2 linked regions of the Arabidopsis thaliana genome follow. The protein of the gene in region 2 binds, or shares a complex with, the protein of the main gene of each other region. Each region holds a gene or a part of one and is shown on either strand. Other genes may lie near its edges.

Region 1 (7,744 bases), on a different chromosome or scaffold from region 2:
AGTATTTTTAAACAGTAGACTAGGCGAGATTTTTCAGAAGATTTGGTGCATAATAGTGTGTAGGTGTGTCTGATAAGCCATAATTATTTTCAATATAACCTTTTCGTTTTTGGATCGATTATGTAATTAAGGCTGATTATTAGTGATTACACCTTTCTGGTTGCTGGAAATATAGGAGGCAGGAGAACGAAATGTCGTGGAGAATGTACCTTCTTCAAAAGATGTGTTGTCGGTGATTACCTTTTTTCACCACAGAAGCATCAACCAGAGGCTACTACTATTAAAATTGCATGATACGCTAATTAGTGAAATGAAGTAAAATTTATTTTATTCTTTGGCGAGGCCCACTTAGGGAGCTAGTAAGACCCCACTATTTTATTCTTTGGCGAGCGAGGCCTACTTGCCCATCATATTCAAGTGGATATGGAATGAGTTGAAACTCTTTTTCAGATGACAAGAGACGGGCTTAAGTGGTGAAACAACTAGTTAGGCTAAAAGGTGCATCATAAGGAACTTTTTTAAACCCCTAAAAGGTCACAATTACTCTCTTGACCTTTCCTGATCCACACAAAAGTTTAGCACTTCACTAGTGAAACTGACCCTTACAAAAAAATATGTAACTACAAAAGGGTCGTCCGATTTGAGACCAGAAGCCGCATCAGTATATTCCTCCTAAACACAAGCAAGAAAGAAACAGCACAAGTGCAAATTATTCACCTTTTCTTGTATATTTTGATTTGTATGACATCAAGCAAAAATATCATAAAGAAACCAGGTGTTTACCGAGTCAAAGTTGGGGGACTGGATGGCATGAAACCAAAATTCTTGAGTCTCACTGTCTTTAGAGGCTAAAAGAGACCTTGTGTTTTTCCTTCTAATCTACAGTTGGTGATATTTCTGTCTGAAGCAAAGAAAGTAAGTGATCATTTGGTTCGTTTAGATGATAGACATGTAGATAAGAGCTAATACTTACACGAGAGTGACAAGATGATTCTGAAACTAAGGAAGTTTCAGCTTGAAGTTAATCCGCAGCGACTTCATCTCCTCCAATTGCCGCTATAAGGGTTTAAGGATTCAGTTATTCTTAAGGAATTGAAGCACACTTTTTTCTCATTTTTCCAAACAGTTCCAAACAGAAACTCATGTTTTCAGTAAAATAGTGGCAATAATCGTCTAGACAATCTAATTACCTTAGATACACTTTCAGACGCCTGCTCGTGTCTGGCTTGGTGCAAACACCATTCCATGGCCATGTCAAATTCAAGGTTGTTAGGCTGAGAAGAATGTGATGTAGCCACGGCATCTCTCTGGAAAAACATATAAAGACCAAAGAGCAAGAAGATTAGTAACGTAACAATGCATTTTTATTTGTGTGCATTATGCAAGGGAAAGGGAAATGAAAACAATACCATCTCCCGTCGCGTTTGAGTTTTGTGTAGTTTGATATGGCCTGAGAATAATGACGGCTTCCCTGGTGGAGTAATCTTAGCGAAAGAAGCAACAAGGGGCCTGTTGAGCAAAAAAGGCACAGCAGAGATTTCTGAGATGAAAGTATGCCAAAAAAATGGCACTGTACATCTCTGCAATTTATCATAGGAAGCTTAGAGAAAAAAGAAGAATATGTCATTTCAGGTTCACCTCCCACTTGATAGCAACAAGCATCCCTCATCTAGTCTTCTAATCACCCTTTCTGCAACTTCTCTTGTTTTGAAAATGACCAAAGCTTCACCTGTATATCAAACAATATGAGGTGCTCTTCATTCCATTTATAGTATGTGAGAATCATAAATTAGAACCCGGTGAGTAAAATGGTAGCTTACCAATATGAGGAATAGTGACTGATGTACGCTCTATCATCCTCGCTTCGCATTGCTGGTTCAAAGCAGAATAGACTATATCCTGAAATACAATTCATAAATTTCTTAGGTTGCATAAAAAGAGAAAAGAAGGGAGGTTTCCATGAAGTAAATCAGGAAACAACTGCATTACATTAGGTTACATTGAGTAAGCATATACAATATACATTTTAAGAGACTCCTAAATGTTGTTGAAAAAAAAAGAGACTCCTAAATAAACTGTAATACCTCCACTTCATCAGATGTATAAGTAGGATCCAAGTTTTGAAGAAGTACCACAGTCCCTTTTTTTTCTGCTTCCCTCATACTTTCTTCCCAAGGCTGGACATAATTTAGACAAATTAAAAAGTCAGTCCATAATTTCTGATACGACGTACAGAATCTGATAACAATTCAGGCTAGCTAGAAGAGACTACGCCAGCCAAACAAAAAATAGGTGCGGATAGAGAAAGTAAACAATTTGACTGCAGATTCAAAAGTAAACAACTGAGTCTCTCGAACATAGAAACGATCAAGAAAATACACTACTTTCTGAATAGCATATGAACGAGACGTTAACAATATTAACAGGTCACTCTACTAACATCATAAAACAAGCATGTCAAACACGAAAATGGAGGCAACCAAAAACGACATTTACAGAACTGGGGTGCAAAAAAAAGTTAAGGAAAAGATACTTACAAGACTCCGGAACCATTTACTTTTTCCCTGAAATAAATAAGGAAACAAAAATCTGTTAGATAAACCTCAATGTTACCAAGCATTGTGGTAACATAATAAGATGAGAAGAATGACAGAACATCACTACAACTATACAACATACAGTGTGAAGGACTGTAAAACAAAACTGCTCCTTTTAGAATTGTGTTCTTGCAAAACCACATCCTTGCATCTAAAGATTTTACAACACGCTCTGAAATCTCATGAAACAGCCAGTTCCAAACCAATGTAAACTAAATCATATTGCAGGAAACATATAGTAAGTATAAACTTACAGCATCCGGCCTTCGGCACACTTCAGTTACTTGATAGTTTCTTTCATTATCATCTGCCGACATCTTGTCCTCAGCACGTCCAAAGCTGGGCTTCTTGGATATACCTTTTTCAGTTACAGTTTTTGTAGTTTTTCCTTCAGATACTGACACTACAAGATCTCGGTTCTTAACAAAGCTGCGCTTTTCGGGAGGGACTTCCTCTATAGTCACTTTGTCTCTAGGTCTCTTAAAAGATCCTGTATCCTTTTTACCATCAGAAGTAATGTTCTGCAAAATGGTTGTATCCCATCCATCTCGTACTGTAACAGAACCATCAAGTTTCTGTTTCTTCAGAGGCCTGTCATCCAATCCACTCGACTCTTGACTATATCTTTCTCCAGCGGGCATAGATTTTTGTTTAGTCAACTGCTTTTTAACATCATTTTCTTGAGCTTTCTTTGAAATGGAATGAATTGTCCTGGAGCCAGAAGCTTCAAAAGAGTTACTATATCTTTCTTCGCCAGGCATAGATTTTTGTTTAGTTAACTGTTTTTTAACTTCACTTTCTTGATCTTTGCCATTATAATGATTTCCCCTAGAGCCAGAATCCTTGTTAGACCTTTCTTCTGCAAGTGTAGATTTTTTTATAGCGAGTTGGTAGTGACCTTTTTCTTTCTCTTCTTTGCAACCATTACTGTTTTCTTTACAGTCAGAAGATTCAAAAGCGCTGTCTTCGATTTTCCTAACTGAACCACTAGCTCCCCTAGCTAAAGGACCATTTGGTTTCAAACTATCTGACTTCCCATTTACGTCTGCTTCAATATTCTGCACCGCAGTTGCTTCTTTCTCAGAGCACGCTCTGTTAAAGATAAATTTAACTGCAAGAATTAGAGTGAAAAGAAGATATGATGTAAATAAAGAATCAAGATAGCTATTGAGTAGAATGTCAAAGCTATCAACTAAGATGAAACAAATTGTACCGTCAACTCCAGCAATCTTATCATCAATCGTATCCACAACTTTGCAACTTCCAACATCAAATGCTCGGCAAAACACGAAGTCCGCTGAGTTGAATTTTTCATCCGAGGGTTGTGGATTTCTTTTGTCTTTTGAAATGCATAGAACAGAGCATTTTCCACCGATTGCTTCCTAGTGAAATAATGTCATATCAGTATTAAAGCAGGTGTAATTTTAACTAATCACTTGCACCAGCTATTCGCACAATGGCACAAAGTTCAAACGAATATTTCAACCAAAAAGTGAAGCAAAGGTAAATCTCTCAAGACACAAGGACATGTTTGATTCACCATAGAAAGACGCTTGTAACAATGTTAGAAACCAACAAAAGTAATTGATCAACGTATTTCTGTTTGGGGAGCTTTGGGATGAGATCTATGCCATGGTTACAAAAGAGGACAAAAAAGCTACTTGGAGCACATATGTTGGTGAACAGAGAACAAGTTATCCTACCGCAAAGAATATAATATTCAACAAAACAAAAGTGGATGGACAATATAATTTAGTACGCAGCATAATATGAGATACATATCAATAAGAAAATGCCATGACATGCTCAATAAGTACTATGGAGAATGAAAATTCAACATAGTATGCAGAAGAATAATTAGTTACCAATTGGTTGGTATTAGCAAGGCCAAGACCTTCACCCGATGCTAAAAACACTTCATTGGCAAGTACATTCGGGACTCCTTCAAGATATGGCGCAATCTCAGAAGGTTTAAAGAACCAGAGAAGCTTGACTTTCTTTGGGATATGCTTATTAGCGTGTTCCCAAATTTTTATGATCATGCCAATGAAGGGTTCAGTAGAGTCTGGTTCACTGGCATTGCCAACTAAGACACAGTCATAAAGACGGTATTCATCGCCATCATAGGTGAAAGATTCATAGAACTGGACATCTTTCTTTTTCCCACCAACACCTTTCTTTTTACCCCACTTAAATTCTAAGCCTTCAGATGCTACAGATTCTTCCATTCTCTAAAAGCAATTTTCTACCTAGACAAACAGCAGAATAGTGTATCCAGATCAGAATTGCACGAGGAACTGATTAGACGACTGAACATATATCCACAATCGTTCATTTAAATGGTTGCATTGATAAATCGAAAGGAATACAAGAATTCCAACAGAAGATCAAACTCGTTTTCCAAGGATAACCGAGAGTACCCTTGACAAGGTGCAGAACACTTCAAGGACTTAAAATACTAAGACCAGAAGACACATAAAAGGAAAAAACCATCACAAGATAGATCAAATCAATGATCCACCATATACTCCCAATCAATCAAACCAAAATCACTCCCGAAACTCTATCAGATCCACTGTTAAACAAGGCAACACATTAATCTTTCAATTGAAATCATTAGCATTGTGCATATAACCAAAAACCATCCAATACATTCTTATAATGCACCATAACCAATCCATAAGAAACTTTTAAGTATTCAGTACTCAGACTAACGTTTAGTAATGACAAGGCTCTCTAAAAAAGCACGCAAGTCCACCAAAAAATACCGAAAGCAGCAAATCAGTTGATCAACGAAAGAAACTCCGTGAGAACAAAGAACACTAAATAAAATAGTAGATAATTGAGTTCAAGTAAACAAAAAGGCGATTCAGAAAAATCAAAAGATCACCAAACTACGCAATTGCAAAAAAGTGATAATATCATTTACGCAATGTAGGTTGAGATAAGCTTTTGCGTTCGTAAGAAACAGCGATTAACTGGGAAACAAAGAAGACGAAGTACTTTCACCAACAATTCAACTTTTTTTTTACCTTCACTGAAGAAATCAGTTTACAGTTTCCGAAGCCACCGAACGGAAAAATGGAACCCTAGCGAAATCAGAGTGACGCGAGTTCGATTAGGTCAAGATGAACAGAAATTGACGAAGCCCAGGTTTATCGCAGAGGGAGAAAAAAAAACCCTAATCCCTCGTTTTACCGGTTACTACAGTATCTCTCCACTTTATCTATCGCTAAAGTTCATCATAAACAAATTCAAATCAAAATCTCTATAGAGCAATTCAGTTTTGGTCGAAGATTGTTCTTGTTGTTGCAGTTTCCAGAGAGAACGGTAAGTTCATGAAAGCTTTTCTCCTCCCATTCCCCCTTTCTCTGAGATTTTCTCTGTTACTTACTTTTTTAAATGAGTTGCACAAAAGACAGAAAGTAAAAATGATTAGGTCTAAAAAAAATACATTGAAATTGAATTATGCACAAAAGAAATACGTAATTTTAGAGAAAATATATTTGAGCAAAGATTTTTACCCCCTAAATACAACAATTTCTTTATTTTATTTTTTCTATAATAATAAATTTCCAATTTTTTTACACATGTATATGTGAGATACGGTCTGATCATATATACTAACCGTTAAACAAGATCATGGAAATTTAATCATATCTTCTAACTCGAATTAGTGAGCTTATATCATAATTTGTTTAGAATTATCCCTGATAAAAGTAGTTGTGGTATAAATGCTACATCCCTATTTTAGACTCTTACTTGTTTTGATACTTAAAATTCAAAATCAAAATCATGGAGTGGAGAAATTTATTGTTCTTCTAATGACTCCTGTCAATGGTCACACGTTTTAAAAAGATGGTGTCTTTAACAAAGCCAATGGACTGTGATTCTCACCATTCACCAATGCAATATTAATCACATACTCTCTATAGTTGAATGTGTTTTAATTTTCTGGAACACCCATTAATCTTTTGGCAACGGAGGTCAATATCAAGAAGTTAAGCTATCTATGCTTTTCACTTTTCAGTAAAGGATACAGAACAATTTTTGTCTCATTAAGGCCCACTACCAAAAAGGTCTGAAGAGTTGGGTTTAGGGATACTAGGCTGTTATATGGGCTGCTTCTAGGGTCTCGTAAAAAGAAACGGCGTCGTTTTTCTGTCTTTTAAAAGTTTTTTAAAAATGCGGTGAGCGTGGATCGAACACGCGACCTTCAGATCTTCAGTCTGACGCTCTCCCAACTGAGCTATCCCCGCTTGATGCTTATATGCTTAACCTTTTATCTATATTTCCTATATTTGCGAATAATTTTGTTGTTTTTTTCGTTTGTTTGTTGATTTTTACAAAAGTTTAGTAGAGTCCGAATACATTACAAGTTGTAACACAAATACATTAAACAAAATCTCAGCGTTGCATTAATCAAAGACAGTGCCCAAATAATTGGTACACTAACTGTTAGTTTTGTCGTTTTACACTAACTGTTATATAAGTCTCCTTATAAAAAGATAATATGGAGAAGTGTTGTTTTGGTTCTCAGTGTTTGAGCCAGTAGTTTCTTAGCTGAGCCATATGCAACAATATCTCGTCCCGACCTTGATTCGTCACACTGCTGGTCATAATCCATGGCGGTGTTGTCTCAAAGAACCCTTGGATCAAGTCTTGGAACTCCTTTATGTTCGCCTCCGGTTTCTTCCCTCCATTTTTCTTCTTCTTTCTCTTGTCGCATTTTGTGAATATCAAAGTCATTGGAACCTGAGAGATATAGATAGCAATCATTCATTTCACAGAGACATTACACAATTAGTACAAGTCTTGACCATGATTGCCAATTAATGGGTTAAAGTGGGGTTTTCAAGGTTTAGGTACTTTTTATACCTGGTTTTGACCAAGCCAGCTTGCATACTCGAGATCGATTGGCTTTACAGGAATGCTGGCATCAACTAGTAAAAACACCGAGACCAATGTTGATCGATTTAGAAAATAGTCTTTGGTGAATTTGTTCCAGTCTTGTTTGAGTTCATGCGGTGCTGATGCATACCTGGATATATAAAATGTATCAACTTTCATTTTCTATACTGAAAGTCCTCAAATTCCCTGGCACAGAAACTGTAATTGTATCCAACAGACACAAACAAAAAACTAGG
Region 2 (3,676 bases):
ATTACAAATCCAAATTGGAATTAACCAGGAAAAAAGAGAGAGATAGAGATTGAAGAAGGAGAGAATTTTACCAGGAAGATGGGGAAAAGCCAGAGAGGCAGCTTGGGGAGAAGAAGGCAAATCTAATCCCGCTTGCCCGCTCAGAGGTGGCATTGCTCTTCTCTCGTCTTTTTATCATTATTTTATTTAATCTCTCCATTTCATTATTAAAAAAGCTCTCTCTCTCTCTTCTTTCCGCCATTAATGTCGGAAAGTGTCAGTCCGAATTCCTCTTTAAATTACCAATATACCCTTCAAATATCTTGTAATGGATCCACTAGTGCTTATGTGATGCGGGCTATATACGGTCCGAATTTTTGAAGGTTGTTTTCTGCTGAATGGATCCATTGACTAGTCCTCTATGATTCTTGACAATTGTTCTTTTGATCTTTTCTTAATTTTTCTTGGTTTTTAATTCCCTTCAGAATTGGTTTGGTGGTTCATGACTAAACCGAAAATTATTATATTCGCTTTACACAATTTTTAGTTTGGTTAATAGTAATACAATTCAAATGTCTGATCCAACATAGAAATCAAGCTATCTCATCTCAAATGTCATACACTACTCACAAGACTTAAGAACCGGGAATGTAGAAAACCAAACGCCAAAAATCTGAAATATCAGAGAGAGCAGAATATGTGTCTCTAAAGCTTAAATCTTGTTTTGCTTGAGAATTAGGCATTAAGAGGAGAGGTCAAGGTAAACTAAAGCAGGGACTTTGATTATCTCATTTACACGCTTCTACTTGTTTCACATAAATGAGAATGTGGAACATTCTTCATTACGAGTTAAAGTCAGAGCGCCTACAGCAAAGTCAGCTCAACCAAAATAGACACTGCACAAACTAGTGACATAAGGAAGTTCTAAGCAAAATACCATATGCAGTCTCTCTCTACCGATAAGGAAAACCTTTCAGGTCGTAACGGCCAGCCAGTTTCTGAGCAACACCATCGTAGAGGAGTTTATCCATCATCTCAAACTTCTTGTGATGTGTTACCGCCGTCTCAGCTTGCTGTTTCGACAGCTTCTCTGCCTCCTCAAGCTGTTTCTGACAACAGAAGACAAGAAAACACATTCACACAATAGCACACAAGTCTTCATTAACACTATCACCGCCAATCAGATCCAATACCACAGGAAGAGACAACAAACAAACGAAAACAAAAAACAAAAAATATAAGCACCTTGAGCATGAACGAATTTTCAGCACTATGCTTACGAGCAAGCCGCTTGACTCTCCTGGCCTTGTCGAAATCAGGATCGTTAGGCTTAATCCAGCGAAAACGGACCGTTCTACCAGGCTTCTTCGGTTTATCAACAAACATATTAGGCTCAGCAGCACAAGCTCTCACAGGCCTTGGCATACCAGCAACCATGAAAGGTAACTGTGAGACAGTAGAGATAACAGCCTGTGTCATCTCTTCATTCTCCATCTCAACAAGAACACCCATAGGAAGCTCCTTTGGACCCAAGTAGTTAGGTATGAAGCTGACTTTCTTGACAGTCCCAAACTGATTGAAAGCAGATGAAATAACAGGAGCTGTGGCAAGAGGCGTGAGTTCGTCTACGTAGACAGTACGACGAACTCTCTCTAGGAACTTCTCATACGCTACTTCTTCCGGAGTCGCCATCACTAACCAAATTAAGAAGAGAAAACGATAAACGAATTTAAGTTCAAATAGAACAAACCCCAAATTGATTCAACAGAGTTACAATTTCCGTCTTAAATATATGCAACGAATTTTCTGGAAAAACAAAAAAGAAATCGGGGCGAAAATCTAGGGTTTCTCAGAGAAATGGGAATGAAGAGATAGTAGCGAAATCGATGGGGCATTGATGAATAGAAGGATAGAGATCAAAGAATTACCTGAACTGGAGAGAATTCGTGTTAAAGGCGTCGTCTCTGGAAGTAACTGTTAAACTCGTGTCAAAGGCGTCGTCTATGGGGGGAGACGAAATAAGGAAGAAGAAGTAAGTTAGGAGGATAAATGACGACTTTTATAGATTTATATATTTGTTATTGGATTCCATTATCAATGGCCCGTATAGCTCAGTGGTAGAGCGTCAGTCTTGTAAACTGAAGGTCCGTAGTTCGATCCTGCGTGTGGGCACTTTTTTATTTTTCAACCTTATGCAATTTTATTTTTTTCCTTTCCCTGTAAATTATAAAAAACATGTAGTTGAAATTAAATAAGATATTTTTTTTTTTGTAAGTATTAAATAAAGAGATTTAGTGAAAGCGATGCGACTCATTGTAATGTATCAATTTTGGATCTCTTTGTAGTTTTTATAAAACAAAATCTTTTTAGGATACTTTCATTGGCCATAAATCATAATAGTGGTTCACCACTTCATTAGAGTTTTTAGCTGTTTTTCTTTTAAGAATCAAATATTAAATCAAATTCTGATTTGATCAATAATAAACTGTTATTTAGCTAATGCAATTGTTTAAACTGATAAATGTTTGGAGCTAAACGTGCAACCAATATCCTCGAGGTGGGGAGTACCTGCCTACCATTTACTATCTAGTTTTTTAACAGCAAAATATGTCTTATTTAACTGGGATAAATGTTTGGAGCTAAACGTCACTAAAACTGTTCTTGATTAATTGTAACTGGGAATTAATTACGCTAACAATAATTTAAAACGAAACATATATTTTGCGTATACTAATGTTAATTCAAGAATGTAAATTCCAGGGTATTTGTCGCAGTTGTTTATACTAAATATTAATTCGCTCAGATTCAAGAATGTAATTATTTTACAAGAATTTTGTTATCTACCTTCAAAAGGATACACAAATCTATCAGATTATATATTATTTGAATGTTGACTCAACTTTCCCCCTAGTACTACTGTTTCTTAATTCTTACTTTTTTGTTTGGTGAAAACAAAGTATTAATTAAATTCCCACTATATATATAACAAATTTTAAGAAAATAATTAATTCCATAAACTCATAGAGTTGCATCCTTTTAAAACCCTCAACATGTCCATCTCTACCGATTAACAATATCAACCAAAGGCATATCTTTTTATCTCCTTCTTCCTTCCTATTTTTGGCTAATGAATGTCTCTTTGTTGCATCTCTTGTAACTTCCTCCTAGATTTTTGAATTCCTGCCCTTATCCAAGAAGCCAGGAAAGGGTAAAAGATTTTCTCGGCCTCGTGGAGCCCTCACCATTATCTTTTCTTCCTCCACACGCAACACTACAACTTTAAAAGAGATGGATCCGACAGAGCTAAAACGCGTGTTCCAAATGTTCGACAAGAACGGGGACGGGACGATCACGGGGAAAGAGCTGAGCGAGACACTACGAAGCCTAGGGATTTACATCCCGGACAAGGAGTTGACTCAAATGATCGAGAAGATCGACGTGAATGGTGATGGGTGCGTGGACATAGACGAGTTTGGTGAGCTATACAAGACGATAATGGACGAGGAAGACGAAGAAGAAGAGGACATGAAAGAAGCTTTCAATGTGTTTGATCAGAATGGAGATGGGTTTATAACGGTGGATGAATTGAAGGCGGTTTTGTCTTCCTTGGGGCTCAAACAAGGTAAGACCTTGGACGATTGTAAGAAGATGATAAAGAAAGTGGATGTTGATGGTGATGGTAGGGTTAACTACAAAG

Evidence for each region. The genes of interacting proteins can lie anywhere in the genome.
Region 1: AT1G05970 (region 2) and AT5G11470 share a complex: the UniProt entries of both Arabidopsis thaliana proteins name them as parts of the ASI1-AIPP1-EDM2 (AAE) RNA regulatory complex.

What each region holds. Positions count from the first base shown.
Region 1 is NC_003076.8:3,662,217-3,669,960, forward strand, and holds AT5G11470 (bromo-adjacent homology (BAH) domain-containing protein), read right to left. Parts: upstream 5,708-7,744; 5' UTR 5,630-5,707; intron 4,847-5,629; 5' UTR 4,826-4,846; coding exon 4,463-4,825; intron 3,980-4,462; coding exon 3,811-3,979; intron 3,709-3,810; coding exon 2,852-3,708; intron 2,565-2,851; coding exon 2,538-2,564; intron 2,178-2,537; coding exon 2,085-2,177; intron 1,900-2,084; coding exon 1,821-1,899; intron 1,730-1,820; coding exon 1,639-1,729; intron 1,510-1,638; coding exon 1,410-1,509; intron 1,308-1,409; coding exon 1,191-1,307; intron 1,057-1,190; coding exon 1,001-1,056; coding exon of another isoform or gene 1,000-1,000; exon of another isoform or gene 974-999; intron 902-973; exon of another isoform or gene 836-901; coding exon 784-835; intron 673-783; coding exon 541-672; 3' UTR 501-540; downstream 1-500. Other genes in the region: AT5G11480 (P-loop containing nucleoside triphosphate hydrolases superfamily protein), read right to left, coding at 7,134-7,352, 7,476-7,638. UniProt on the Arabidopsis thaliana protein: Collaboratively with AIPP1/EDM3 and EDM2, the AAE complex regulates alternative RNA processing (e.g. alternative splicing) and epigenetic silencing (e.g.
Region 2 is NC_003070.9:1,815,321-1,818,996, forward strand, and holds AT1G05970 (RNA-binding (RRM/RBD/RNP motifs) family protein), read right to left. Parts: upstream 2,017-3,676; 5' UTR 1,908-2,016; intron 1,674-1,907; 5' UTR 1,672-1,673; coding exon 1,225-1,671; intron 1,089-1,224; coding exon 933-1,088; 3' UTR 505-932; downstream 1-504. Other genes in the region: AT1G05990 (EF hand calcium-binding protein family), read left to right, coding at 3,268-3,676. UniProt on the Arabidopsis thaliana protein: Prevents gene silencing by suppressing CHG methylation as well as histone H3 lysine 9 dimethylation (H3K9me2) status at target loci.